3 linked regions of the Saccharomyces cerevisiae S288C genome follow. Changing the gene in region 2 together with the main gene of any one other region gives a genetic interaction. Each region holds a gene or a part of one and is shown on either strand. Other genes may lie near its edges. The genes, in order: YPS6, CHM7 and BIO2.

Region 1 (3,760 bases), on a different chromosome or scaffold from region 2:
GAACACCAGTGATAACTCTGGTGACTTGTTCAGCTGGAATACCAGTCAACATGGTGGTGAAGTCACCATAGTTGAAAACAGCTTCAGCAATTTCAACTGGGTAGGTCTCACTTGGATGAGCTGCTTGAAACAAGTAGTATTGGGCCAAATGAGCTCTGATATCGGAGACGTAAACACCCAATTCGACCAAGTTAACTCTTTCGTCAGATGGAGATAGAGTGGTAGTGGCTGGGGCAGCGGCAACACCAGCAGCGATGGCGGCGACACCAGCAGCGATTGAAGTTAATTTGACCATTATATTTGTTTTGTTTTTTAGTGCTGATATAAGCTTAACAGGAAAGAAAGGAATAAAAACATATTCTCAAAGACATACAGTTGAAGCAGCTCTATTTATACCCATGCCTTCATCAGTCATCACTACTTAAACGATTCGTTAACAGGTGCTCATTTAGCACCTCACATATCCTCCATATCTCATCTTTCACACAATCTCATTATCTCTATGGAGATGACCTTGTTTCTGAACGAATCATACATCTTTCATAGACTTCGTATGTGGAGTATTGTTTTATGGCACTCATGTGTATTCGTATGCGCAGAATGTGGGAATGCCAATTATAGGGTGCCGAGGTGCCTTATAAAACCCTTTTCTGTGCCTGTGACATTTCCTTTTTCGGTCAAAAAGAATATCCGAATTTTAGATTTGGACCCTCGTACAGAAGCTTATTGTCTAAGCCCATATTCAGTCTGCTCTAAACGGCTTCCATGCAAGAAATATTTCTATCTCTTGAATTCGTACAACATTAAACGTGTGTTGGGAGTCGTATACTGTTAGGGTCTGCAAATATGTAAACTCTCGGCGAAGGCCTTGGTGCAATTACGTAATTGTAGCCGCTGAGAGGCGGATGGTATTGAGAGAAGTTGATATTCAAAGAATTGATTATGATAAAAAAAAAAAATTGTAACCAATCCGTAAATACTGAAACTCTTTGCAGTAAGAAATCTTTCATCCCCAGAGAGAACGCGGAAATATTCAGCCTAAGTCTCTCCAAATTGATTTCTTTCATTTTGGTAGCGAAAGACTTAGTATCAACCTCAAAAAGTTGAAATTTTTGTAGATATATGTGCGGATGACATGAAGTATCCAGCTCCTTTGTGAATATGGAAGCAAGTTTCTTTCAAATTATTATCGACTTTTCCTCTGCCCCTTTTACCTTATAACTTTAGGAAACACTACCCTATCCATACTCAACTAAAAAAGTAGTACGTTTTCTTCTTTGAGAGGTATGGTGCAAACCAGTGCAATCTGATTCCAGATTGCCCTCACGTGAGGCTTCAGTAAATCTCGATCCCTCTACATATTACATTATCTCCTACTTGGCAAAATAGATGTGGCTTTAGTTGATGAAAATTTACCACGTCAACTATTTATGTCCTTTCTACAATAAACCCCGACCTACTATCCTCTATGTTGTTTTTAACATACCATACGAGCGTCATATGTCTTTTGGTTCACTGGGGAAGACCATCACTGTTGAACGTTTGTTGAAAAGTTCGAGATGATGAAGATTGCATAACAAAATGTAAAGTTATTTTTAGAAACTATAACGGTTCAAGACATTCAACACTATAACATAGCTTGGCTGGCTTGAACATAAAGAGGAAGAAGCAAAAGCAAGAGTAAAAAGCTTCTCATTTATTTCTGGCATTGTTGATCACCCAGTGCAAGCCCAATTTCGCCTGTGCTTTTCTTAAATTGTTTCTGACAACACCGAGGTTTTCGCTGCAGAAAAGGAACATATGGTGGTAATTTGTATAAGGGGTTAAGGGTCCAAAAATTTGCTACCCTGTCGCTCACTACAGCAAAATATCTCGAGATATCCGAGGAGTTAAAACTGACTAGACCTGTTGCGTAAACCTCATGCAAGCAGTACTCTTCGAGGATTTAAGCTTTGGAACTGCTTTCAAAGTTGAGAGTATATAAGGTGTTATGATCTTGGAATAGGGTTTTTCATCGTTCTTCCTTGTTCTCTTTTTTCATTGGTTGATCAGTTGTTAAATTTTGTCTCTTTCGAAAATAAGGATATTTGAAGACAACGCAAAGCTATCAATATGCAATTGATTTCCATCCTCTCTTTGTTGTCATCATTGATGTGTTCATTGACCGTTTTAGGGTCTTCCGCAAGTTCCTATGTTAAGTTTCCTGTTCAAAAGTTGGCTGATATTATAAATATATGCACACAGGATGTTTCTACCGTCTTCAAAAGAAATGAGGTTCTTAACACCACAGTGATAAATGGAATAGGAGTGTATGTTGTCAAGATGGAAATCGGAACGCCTCCACAAACGTTGTACCTACAGTTAGATACTGGCTCTTCAGATATGATTGTGAATAATGCTGACATTGCCTATTGCAAATCGATGTCTGACGGATCTGACTACGCTTCAACTGATAATTACGAGCTCACAGCAACGTTCAATGGGCTTCCTTCGACTACCATCTCATCAGAAGCTTATAACACTCTCTGCTCTTATTGGGGTACATTCGATGCAAGCAACTCATCTACTTTTGAGAATAATGCGACGTTTTTCAATAACACATACGGAGATGGTACGTATTATGCAGGGACTTATGGTACGGATGTTGTCTCTTTCGAAAATATTACTCTAAATGATTTCACTTTTGGTGTATCAAATGATACAATAGGCAATCCAAGTGGCATTTTAGGCATATCGCTTCCCATTGCAGAATTTACAGATGGTATCGAATACGCATTGGCATTGAACAGAACACCTTTCATATATGATAACTTTCCAATGGAATTAAAAAATCAGGGAAAGATTAATAAAATAGCGTATTCTTTATTTTTGAATGGACCTGATGCACACTTCGGGAGCATCTTGTTTGGTGCAGTGGACAAAAGTAAGTACACAGGACAGCTTTACACCCTGCCTATGCTGCAGGCATTCAATACCCTTGGCTCAAATCCTGGGATGATTATTACTGCACAAAGTGTGGCAATTTTGGATAGTGAATCTGGCAATAAAACTGTTTCGGATATTCAATTTCCAGTGATGTTGGATTCTGGCACAACTTTCTCCTATTTACCCACCGAAATTGCAGAAGCAATCGGCAAAAGTTTTGACGGAGAGTACAGCTCTGACGACCAAGGCTACATCTTTGATTGTTCAAAAGTGAACGATACTTTACTGTCCGTCGACTTTGGAGGATTTAATATATCGGCAAACATATCCAATTTCGTAACATCAGCTAAGGATCGTTGCGTTTTAAATGTTAAGCAATCCGAGTCCACTTATATGCTGGGAGATGCTTTCCTTGTCGACGCATATGTAGTCTACGATTTAGAAAACTACGAAATTTCTATTGCTCAGGCTAGCTTTAATAATCAAGAAGAAGATATTGAGGTTATCTCCGATACTGTCCCAGGTGCCACCCCTGCTCCCGGATACTTTAGTACATGGGTATATAAGCCCGGTAGTCCCATCGGAACAGGAGATTTTATTAATGTCAGCTGGACCTCGTATTCGGAATTTTCACAGTACAAATCATTGCTTGCCACCGCAGCCCAAAGCGATGATGCTAGTTCTTTCTCAAGTAGTGGCGGCTCTAGCGAAAGCACCACTAAAAAACAAAATGCAGGTTACAAATACCGTTCTTCTTTCTCCTTTTCATTATTGTCCTTCATATCTTATTTTCTTTTATAAGTAGAGAAGAGATACATAGTTTCGCAGTGTGTTA
Region 2 (3,760 bases):
GATCTGTTGCCCAGATCGACTCTCATCTTAGAACCGCTGGAAGCCAATAACAAAACATTCGACTACATGGAACAATCTTCTCTTCTACACAAGGTTTACTCAGGTTTGACATCTTTTTGGGCGAAAGAACCGGAAGTAGATGCTTCCTCCTCCCGTCTTGGTTACCAGAGGTTGGGCACAAATGTGTCAAACAGCGCCAACTACTCTTTACAAAAATTATCTAGCTTAGACATGGTGTCGGACGGGGGAGGAGGAGGTGGTGGTGATTCAATGACTCCTTCAGCATATACTACCCCAAGGATGTATCCTTCTAATGGTACTTCTCAATTGCGACAAAACGTGTCTGAACTAAACTTGTCTTCCAATAATTCTGCATCTAATACCAAAGTTCGTACATTAGGTTACTCTAATAATAACGGCAACAATTAAATGTGCTTTTGTTTATTTCCTATTTGGTTATTCACACATATTTTCTTTCTTCCGTCTATTAAAATATTCATATTTATTTTTTATTTATACATATATATTTATTTATTAGTCACTCAGTTCGTCAACGTGGTTGTTCTTCCATCATGATTTTTCTTATCTCATTATCGTGGTTTTCATTATCTTGCACAGGTCCTTCATTTGTATTTATCTTCAGATTATTCAATCTCTTTAATAGATCCTCGCTACTGCTTTCTTTTGGCTCGTGCAAATCCTGGTTCTTATTTTCTTCCTTATTATTATTCTTTTCATCAAGTTCTAATTGTTCTAATTCTCTTTCAATTTCTTCTTCTGCTTCTTCGTCTTGACCTTTATTATAATGAGCTAATAAATCATTGACCTCTTCGGTACGGTCATGACCCTCTTTAATCTCATCTAGTAAGTCTTCTACTTTTTCGGTAGAACCAATATATCCATTAATTGACTTAATTACTTCGTTGGATTCACTTAAAGTTTGAATTAAAACCGCATTAGTAGCACTGGTGTCTATTTGAGTTCTTACTTGAGCGAGGTTATTTTGAAACTTTAGTAACCTAGAAAGATGTTTTTCAGATAGTAATCTCGCCTGTTTATATTCAATCCTTATTCTCTTCGGCAGCTCATTAAACTCTGGTCCTCTCAGTTTAATGTTAGATTCATTAATTTCTTTTCTTAGCCTTGTAATTTGTTTGTTGATGTTTATAATACCCACTTTAACACTAGCAATTCGAAGGTCATTTTCTGTGATGCCTTTGGAGAACCTGCTAGTAATGTCTTCTACTTCAGCGGCAATGACTTTGATAACATTGTCTTTTGAAACTATTATGTGCTTATAATTCTCTATAAAGTGCAGGAACACGTTTTTCGTTTCTTCATCATAGGTTGAAAAGAACGACTGCAAACTTTCTGTGGTCACAAATTCATTCCTTGTGAATACTAAATCTGTAATAGATGAAGCCTCCATAAAAACACTTCTTTTGAGTAATTCATGAAACCTTTGATACTCTTTTTCCAAATTTGCTTTGATAATAAATTTGTCTTCTCTCAAGTAGAAATTTGTTTCATCCTTCCGGCTTTTATACATGTTTGTAGACTCCTTCCAACTTCTAACCCACTTCCAAAATCCTTTTCTACTGTTGTCAGTGTACATTCCACCAAGATTGAATAATTCCATAGGTATCAAATTTCCTTCATTAACAAGAACGTCAATTGCTATATCAATGCTTTTCGGTACGCCATAAACTTCATGAGTTAATTCTTGCAAAGTCCTTGTCCCTATAGTAAATATGATTCTGTTGGAGTTGCTGATGTATTGTTGCAAGAAGAAATCCCTCCATGTACTGATGTTTGCTTCGTACCCATCGGGATTTAAATCTTTCAATGGCCTAAAATCTCTATATAAAGATGGTAGTCTGGATTCTGGTAAATCTACTTTCATTCAGATACAGTGAGATACTATTTGGCTGGCTTTGGTGGTGTTTTGCCAGATATAGTTTAAGAATTTAAAACTCCTCTTATTGTCTCTACTAACGCTGCACTTCATTGAGTTGTATGGGTGTATCAATAGTGTGCTTGCCCAAACAAAAATGTTATTATATAATAAATGTTGATGAAATCTATTTGTTTATTATATATACCAATAAAAATACATAATTGTGTGTGATTAACTATAAATACAAAGAACCAGCAGATACGATATCTCTATGAATTAATTTCAAGACAGCTTCCATCTTCTCCTTAAGTGAAGAGTTACCAATGGTATTGGCGACGTCTACCAGCTCCTTCACCAATTCCTCTAATCTCTTGAACATTCTGATCAACGAACCTTCGTAAACGTCGGTCATTTTACAGATTTGCGTAAAAGTAGCTCCTCTACACCATTCGTAAACAACTTCCATTAGTTCATGTCTGAAGCTTTCAACGTAGTCCTTTTCTACAACTTCAATTTTAGAATCCTTCATTATCTTAGCGATCTTTGCTGCAATTTCTCTCATAGCCTTCAAAGGTTCGGCAAGCTCTGGTTTCAATCTAGGCGCTTCTTTACAGCGTTCTTGGAATGCAAAGCATGATAATAATGCTGCTGCTTGTTCCGGTTTCAACTCATTGAAATTACCATTGAAGATCAATTCTGTTAGTAACAGTTCATCACCACTAGATATTTCACATGCAACTCTACCTTTCAGTTCAATAATGTCATTAGGAGTACAAAATCCTAAACGGCGCAAAACTCTTTTACGGCGACGAAGATCGTCCAGTTGGATTACGGCTTGTGATTCTGAAATTTTGCGTTTCAATTGTTTCATATCTTCATGTAAATCGTGTTTTCTACTATATTTACCATATAGTTCTTCTAGTCTCATGGAATTGGTTAAGGGATTGGAGGATAACTTTGTGTTTAAAACGTCAATCTTCTTCATTAGCTTTAAAAAGTCCTCATCTTCGATCTTCATGTTTTTAACAGGATCCAGCACGGGAATACCATCCGGGAACCTCCGATTAACCTCCCTTAAAGACTTCCCAACAGTTTCTTTTTGACCGCTGGCTCTAATATCTTTGGGCATATATAGTCTCAAATTACCAATCGACTTGATTGAATCCAAAGTTATGGGAATAACAGCACATATGCTTTTTTCACCTTCTTCCGCTGGGCGAATCCCTTCTGGTAAGGTAGGGTTGAAAGGTTTCAACAAGTTGACTGGAGAGTCTATATACATGGTATTGACGACCACATTGACAATATAGGATTCATGGTCTGTATAGACAGCACTTGGGTTGCGTTTGTTAATTCTTTTAGCAAAATCGACAACAGCACCCCAGCCATAGTTATCCTTACCATTGACAGAGATTTCAACTAATCTGCCTGGTTGTAGGAAACTTAAGGCGTTTGCCGGATGGGTGACAACTTGACGAACATCTTCACGGTAACCTTTGATAGCCTGCTCAATCTCATGGTATTCTTTAACATTTTCTTCATCTTCGACTTCGATGCCATCAAAGTCTTTTTTCAGTTCAGCAAGTTTCTTTTCCATAACTGGTACTGAAATAACGTTTTGAAATTGGAAGAAAGAATGCTCCAACATAAACTCCGGAGAGATACCTTCAACTCTCATTAAGTTCAAAATCATATTATATCCTAAGTGAAAAGCCGAGTCTAGCCTATCTGCTTGGCCCTTAACCATTCCTTTAGCAACTTGAGGTTCCATTTTTTCATCAATCATCATAATAACAATACCACGATCATCTAAACCACGACGACCTGCACGACCAGACATTTGTATATATTCTCCACCTGAAA
Region 3 (3,714 bases), on a different chromosome or scaffold from region 2:
GGTCAGAAAGGAAAACGAATACATCTAACCCTATAGCTGATTGCTTCAATTTATTGGTTAGGAGAATAAAAAACTCTTTCTTTTGTCAAGCAGAACGAGAGAGGAACGCAAACCGAATGCAGGAGACTCGAAGAAAGATGCTTTCTTGACTTATATTTTTATAATTATTGGAATTGACGCTTGATCTAGTAAAGAATGAGATGGTGGCCGTATTCTGCTGACCTAAATTTAATATTTATTCTAAAAGGTCTGTTAATTTTGTACAAATCCTTGGCGAGAAGGAGAGGTGGCAAAATATTTGTGAAAATGGGAACCAATTTAATCAAATAGATGTAGCTTCTAGAAAGCCATTTTTAATGAGTTATATAGGGTCGTTGATTAGGTATCGTATCACAATGTCACAGTCTCAATGGAAAATACATCAACCATCACTCCTTCCAGTGGTAGGGAATGCTCTGCTAACATGCCTCAATTATGTGGCAACATCCTTCAAACATAGGTCATTTTCCTGCACAGTCAGCATTGTTCCCAAGGTTGTTTAACAGTGAACGGAAGAAATTTTTATCATAAAAGTCTCTAAATAAGGAACTAAGTGTGCAGAAGATGGGAATGTGTGGCTCAGTTTAATCTTCAATTCAACGTCGGATAGTACTTATTAAGGATAGCCATCTTTCTTAGTAGCCTACTCTTCTGATTCGTTTTAGTTAAGAGTGTGGAAATACTTGAATTATAGCATACAAATGGAAATGGTTAAATAGCTATACGCTCTTTCAAGTCATTGTTCTTGCTTCTGCCTTTTCCGTACAAATGTGACTATAATAGTTGCACTAGTTTAGCTTTCTCATCAGTACGAAAAATATTAAATCTCAATTAATTACTTTAGAAGGATATGATGTGGTCAATGCATCTGATCTTCTACTGACGCATTTAGGGCTTATGTGACCTAGTTATTCATTGCGAAAGCAGAACGTACTACCATTTACGAATCTGAACTTCGAATAACAACAGCAAGAGGCTCTAGGATGAAGTCTTCCCGGAAACCATTACTCCAAAGTAGGTAGCTGTGGAAAGCAGCTTCCAGATAATAGTAAATGGATAACCGTTTCTAAGCGACCTTATTTCAGTCTTGAAAATACTTACCCATTTTGCATCGATTGGGAACTGAGAACCTACAAGCCGTAAGATTGCGTAGCTTTCTCTTGGGGTCCGTGAGATCCGTATTCTGCATTATTACTGCATCTCCAACGAAACTACCTCATTGTGTGAAACTACTATTTCTTGCAAGAAGTTATGACTGCGATGCAAATTACAAAATATACAATTGTAAAACGGCTTAATAGAAAGACATTAGTAGCCCTTGGTCATTACCTTCATATTCAAATAAGCTAATGATCAAATAAAAAAGCCCAACGATATTGCCTGTTGCATCTAAAATTTTCCAAGTCAAACGAGTTCATATTATATACTATGTATGGAATATATATATATAATTTTTCATTTTATTTTCAAAAAATGCCACTGCGCAAATCTCTGTCCATCAGTACTGTTCTTTACAATTTTATCGTGGGAAGTTGCGGAGGGGCGTGTTGGCTAGCAAAAGATAGTCATGTCGAGATGACTCGCGGATGAAGTCTCGCGTCTTCTTCGAAGCCATTTTGCCGGCATTTGGTTATGGAAAAAAGTTGTTGAAAAGTGCAAAGCATTAGAACCGTCCCTGTCACGCTGGTGCCCCCACAGATTTCACGTGAGAGACGATGCCTGAGGAAAATCCGCTACGCTGCTGCCTAATCTGTATTTACAGGCTATGTAGTTCGTTTGCCACTCTGCTAGATTCTCTTGGTATCTTTTATTTCTTCTCTTAGGCAGATCTTATATAAAAGGGCAAAGCTTTTTTTGCTCCCATACTTGCTGAAAATTTTTCAGATCTTACTCTTCTGGTAGTGGTGTCCTCAGAAGAGCTAACTTAGCCGATTATTTTCAATTTAGTGCAGTATGATGTCTACTATCTACCGTCATTTATCTACCGCTAGACCGGCTTTAACTAAATACGCAACCAATGCCGCAGTTAAATCGACAACTGCATCCTCAGAAGCTAGTACTCTGGGTGCTCTACAATATGCATTGTCTTTAGATGAACCAAGTCATTCGTGGACAAAATCGCAATTAAAAGAAATTTATCATACCCCACTGCTCGAACTTACTCATGCAGCACAATTGCAGCACAGAAAGTGGCACGATCCAACCAAAGTGCAATTGTGCACATTGATGAACATCAAATCTGGTGGTTGTTCTGAGGACTGTAAGTATTGTGCGCAGTCTTCGAGAAACGATACCGGTCTAAAGGCTGAGAAAATGGTTAAAGTGGATGAAGTGATTAAAGAGGCAGAAGAGGCCAAAAGAAACGGATCTACTAGATTCTGCCTAGGTGCTGCATGGAGAGACATGAAAGGTCGTAAATCAGCCATGAAAAGAATTCAGGAAATGGTGACCAAAGTGAATGATATGGGGCTAGAAACGTGTGTTACTTTAGGTATGGTTGATCAAGATCAAGCAAAGCAATTGAAAGATGCAGGTTTGACTGCATACAACCATAACATCGACACTTCCAGAGAACACTATAGTAAGGTCATCACCACGAGAACCTACGACGACAGGTTACAGACCATCAAGAATGTCCAAGAATCTGGAATAAAAGCCTGTACCGGTGGTATTTTGGGTCTCGGTGAAAGCGAAGACGACCATATAGGATTCATCTACACATTATCCAATATGTCTCCTCATCCTGAGTCCCTACCAATTAATAGACTAGTTGCTATCAAAGGGACTCCAATGGCTGAGGAACTTGCCGATCCAAAGAGTAAAAAGTTGCAATTCGACGAAATTTTGAGAACCATTGCCACAGCGAGAATAGTTATGCCAAAGGCCATTATAAGACTTGCCGCTGGTCGTTATACAATGAAAGAAACAGAGCAATTTGTCTGTTTCATGGCAGGTTGTAACAGTATCTTCACCGGTAAGAAAATGCTGACGACAATGTGTAACGGTTGGGACGAAGACAAGGCAATGTTGGCTAAATGGGGATTGCAACCTATGGAGGCATTTAAGTACGACAGATCTTGAAGATAGGGATATGTGGATAATTCTACGATTCTAACTGTACATTTCTCCCTTATTTATTAAGAAAACCTATATATATATATATTTACCTATTTATTCTGCCATCGTTAGCTGGCGTTTTATCTTTTATGCATCCAATATCTAATATTACTTCCGATCACGCATTTAGTTCTGATTACAGCAGAAATCGTAGCGCGATGAGACATTTCATCAAATGGCCTTTTTTTTTTGGGCAATTTTTTTATATCTTGAAATGATAGTTGCCTTGTACTTTCAACCGTTCATTTCATTAAGAACTTGACTAAATATGAACATTTCTTAAAAAAAAGGTTGACATATAAAAATAATCGAATATAAACGATGGAATTTTTATAAAATTAAACACATATATATATATATATTAACTATAAATATGTCAAAGAAACCATACAATCATAGATTTATAACTATCTTTTGGATGACATTAATGAACATAACGCTCCTAATACAAATGTCCAAAAAATATTACCCGCAAATACGAATCTTTTTTTTTTCTCGATGAAATTTTGCAAAGAGTTCGAAATTTTTATTTCAAGAGCTGGTAGAGAAAATTTCATA

Evidence for each region.
Region 1: mutations in CHM7 (region 2) and YPS6 together harm fitness more than expected from each alone (negative genetic interaction), as found in Saccharomyces cerevisiae (one large-scale study listed by BioGRID).
Region 3: mutations in CHM7 (region 2) and BIO2 together harm fitness more than expected from each alone (negative genetic interaction), as found in Saccharomyces cerevisiae (2 studies listed by BioGRID).

Annotation. Positions count from the first base shown.
Region 1 is NC_001141.2:430,464-434,223, reverse strand, and holds YPS6 (aspartyl protease), read left to right. Parts: upstream 1-2,112; coding exon 2,113-3,726; downstream 3,727-3,760. Other genes in the region: seripauperin PAU15, read right to left, coding at 1-295.
Region 2 is NC_001142.9:344,116-347,875, reverse strand, and holds CHM7 (phosphatidic acid-binding protein CHM7), read right to left. Parts: upstream 1,904-3,760; coding exon 551-1,903; downstream 1-550. Other genes in the region: UBX6 (Ubx6p), read left to right, coding at 1-429; ATP-dependent RNA helicase MTR4, read right to left, coding at 2,133-3,760.
Region 3 is NC_001139.9:1,063,219-1,066,932, reverse strand, and holds BIO2 (biotin synthase), read left to right. Parts: upstream 1-1,992; coding exon 1,993-3,120; downstream 3,121-3,714.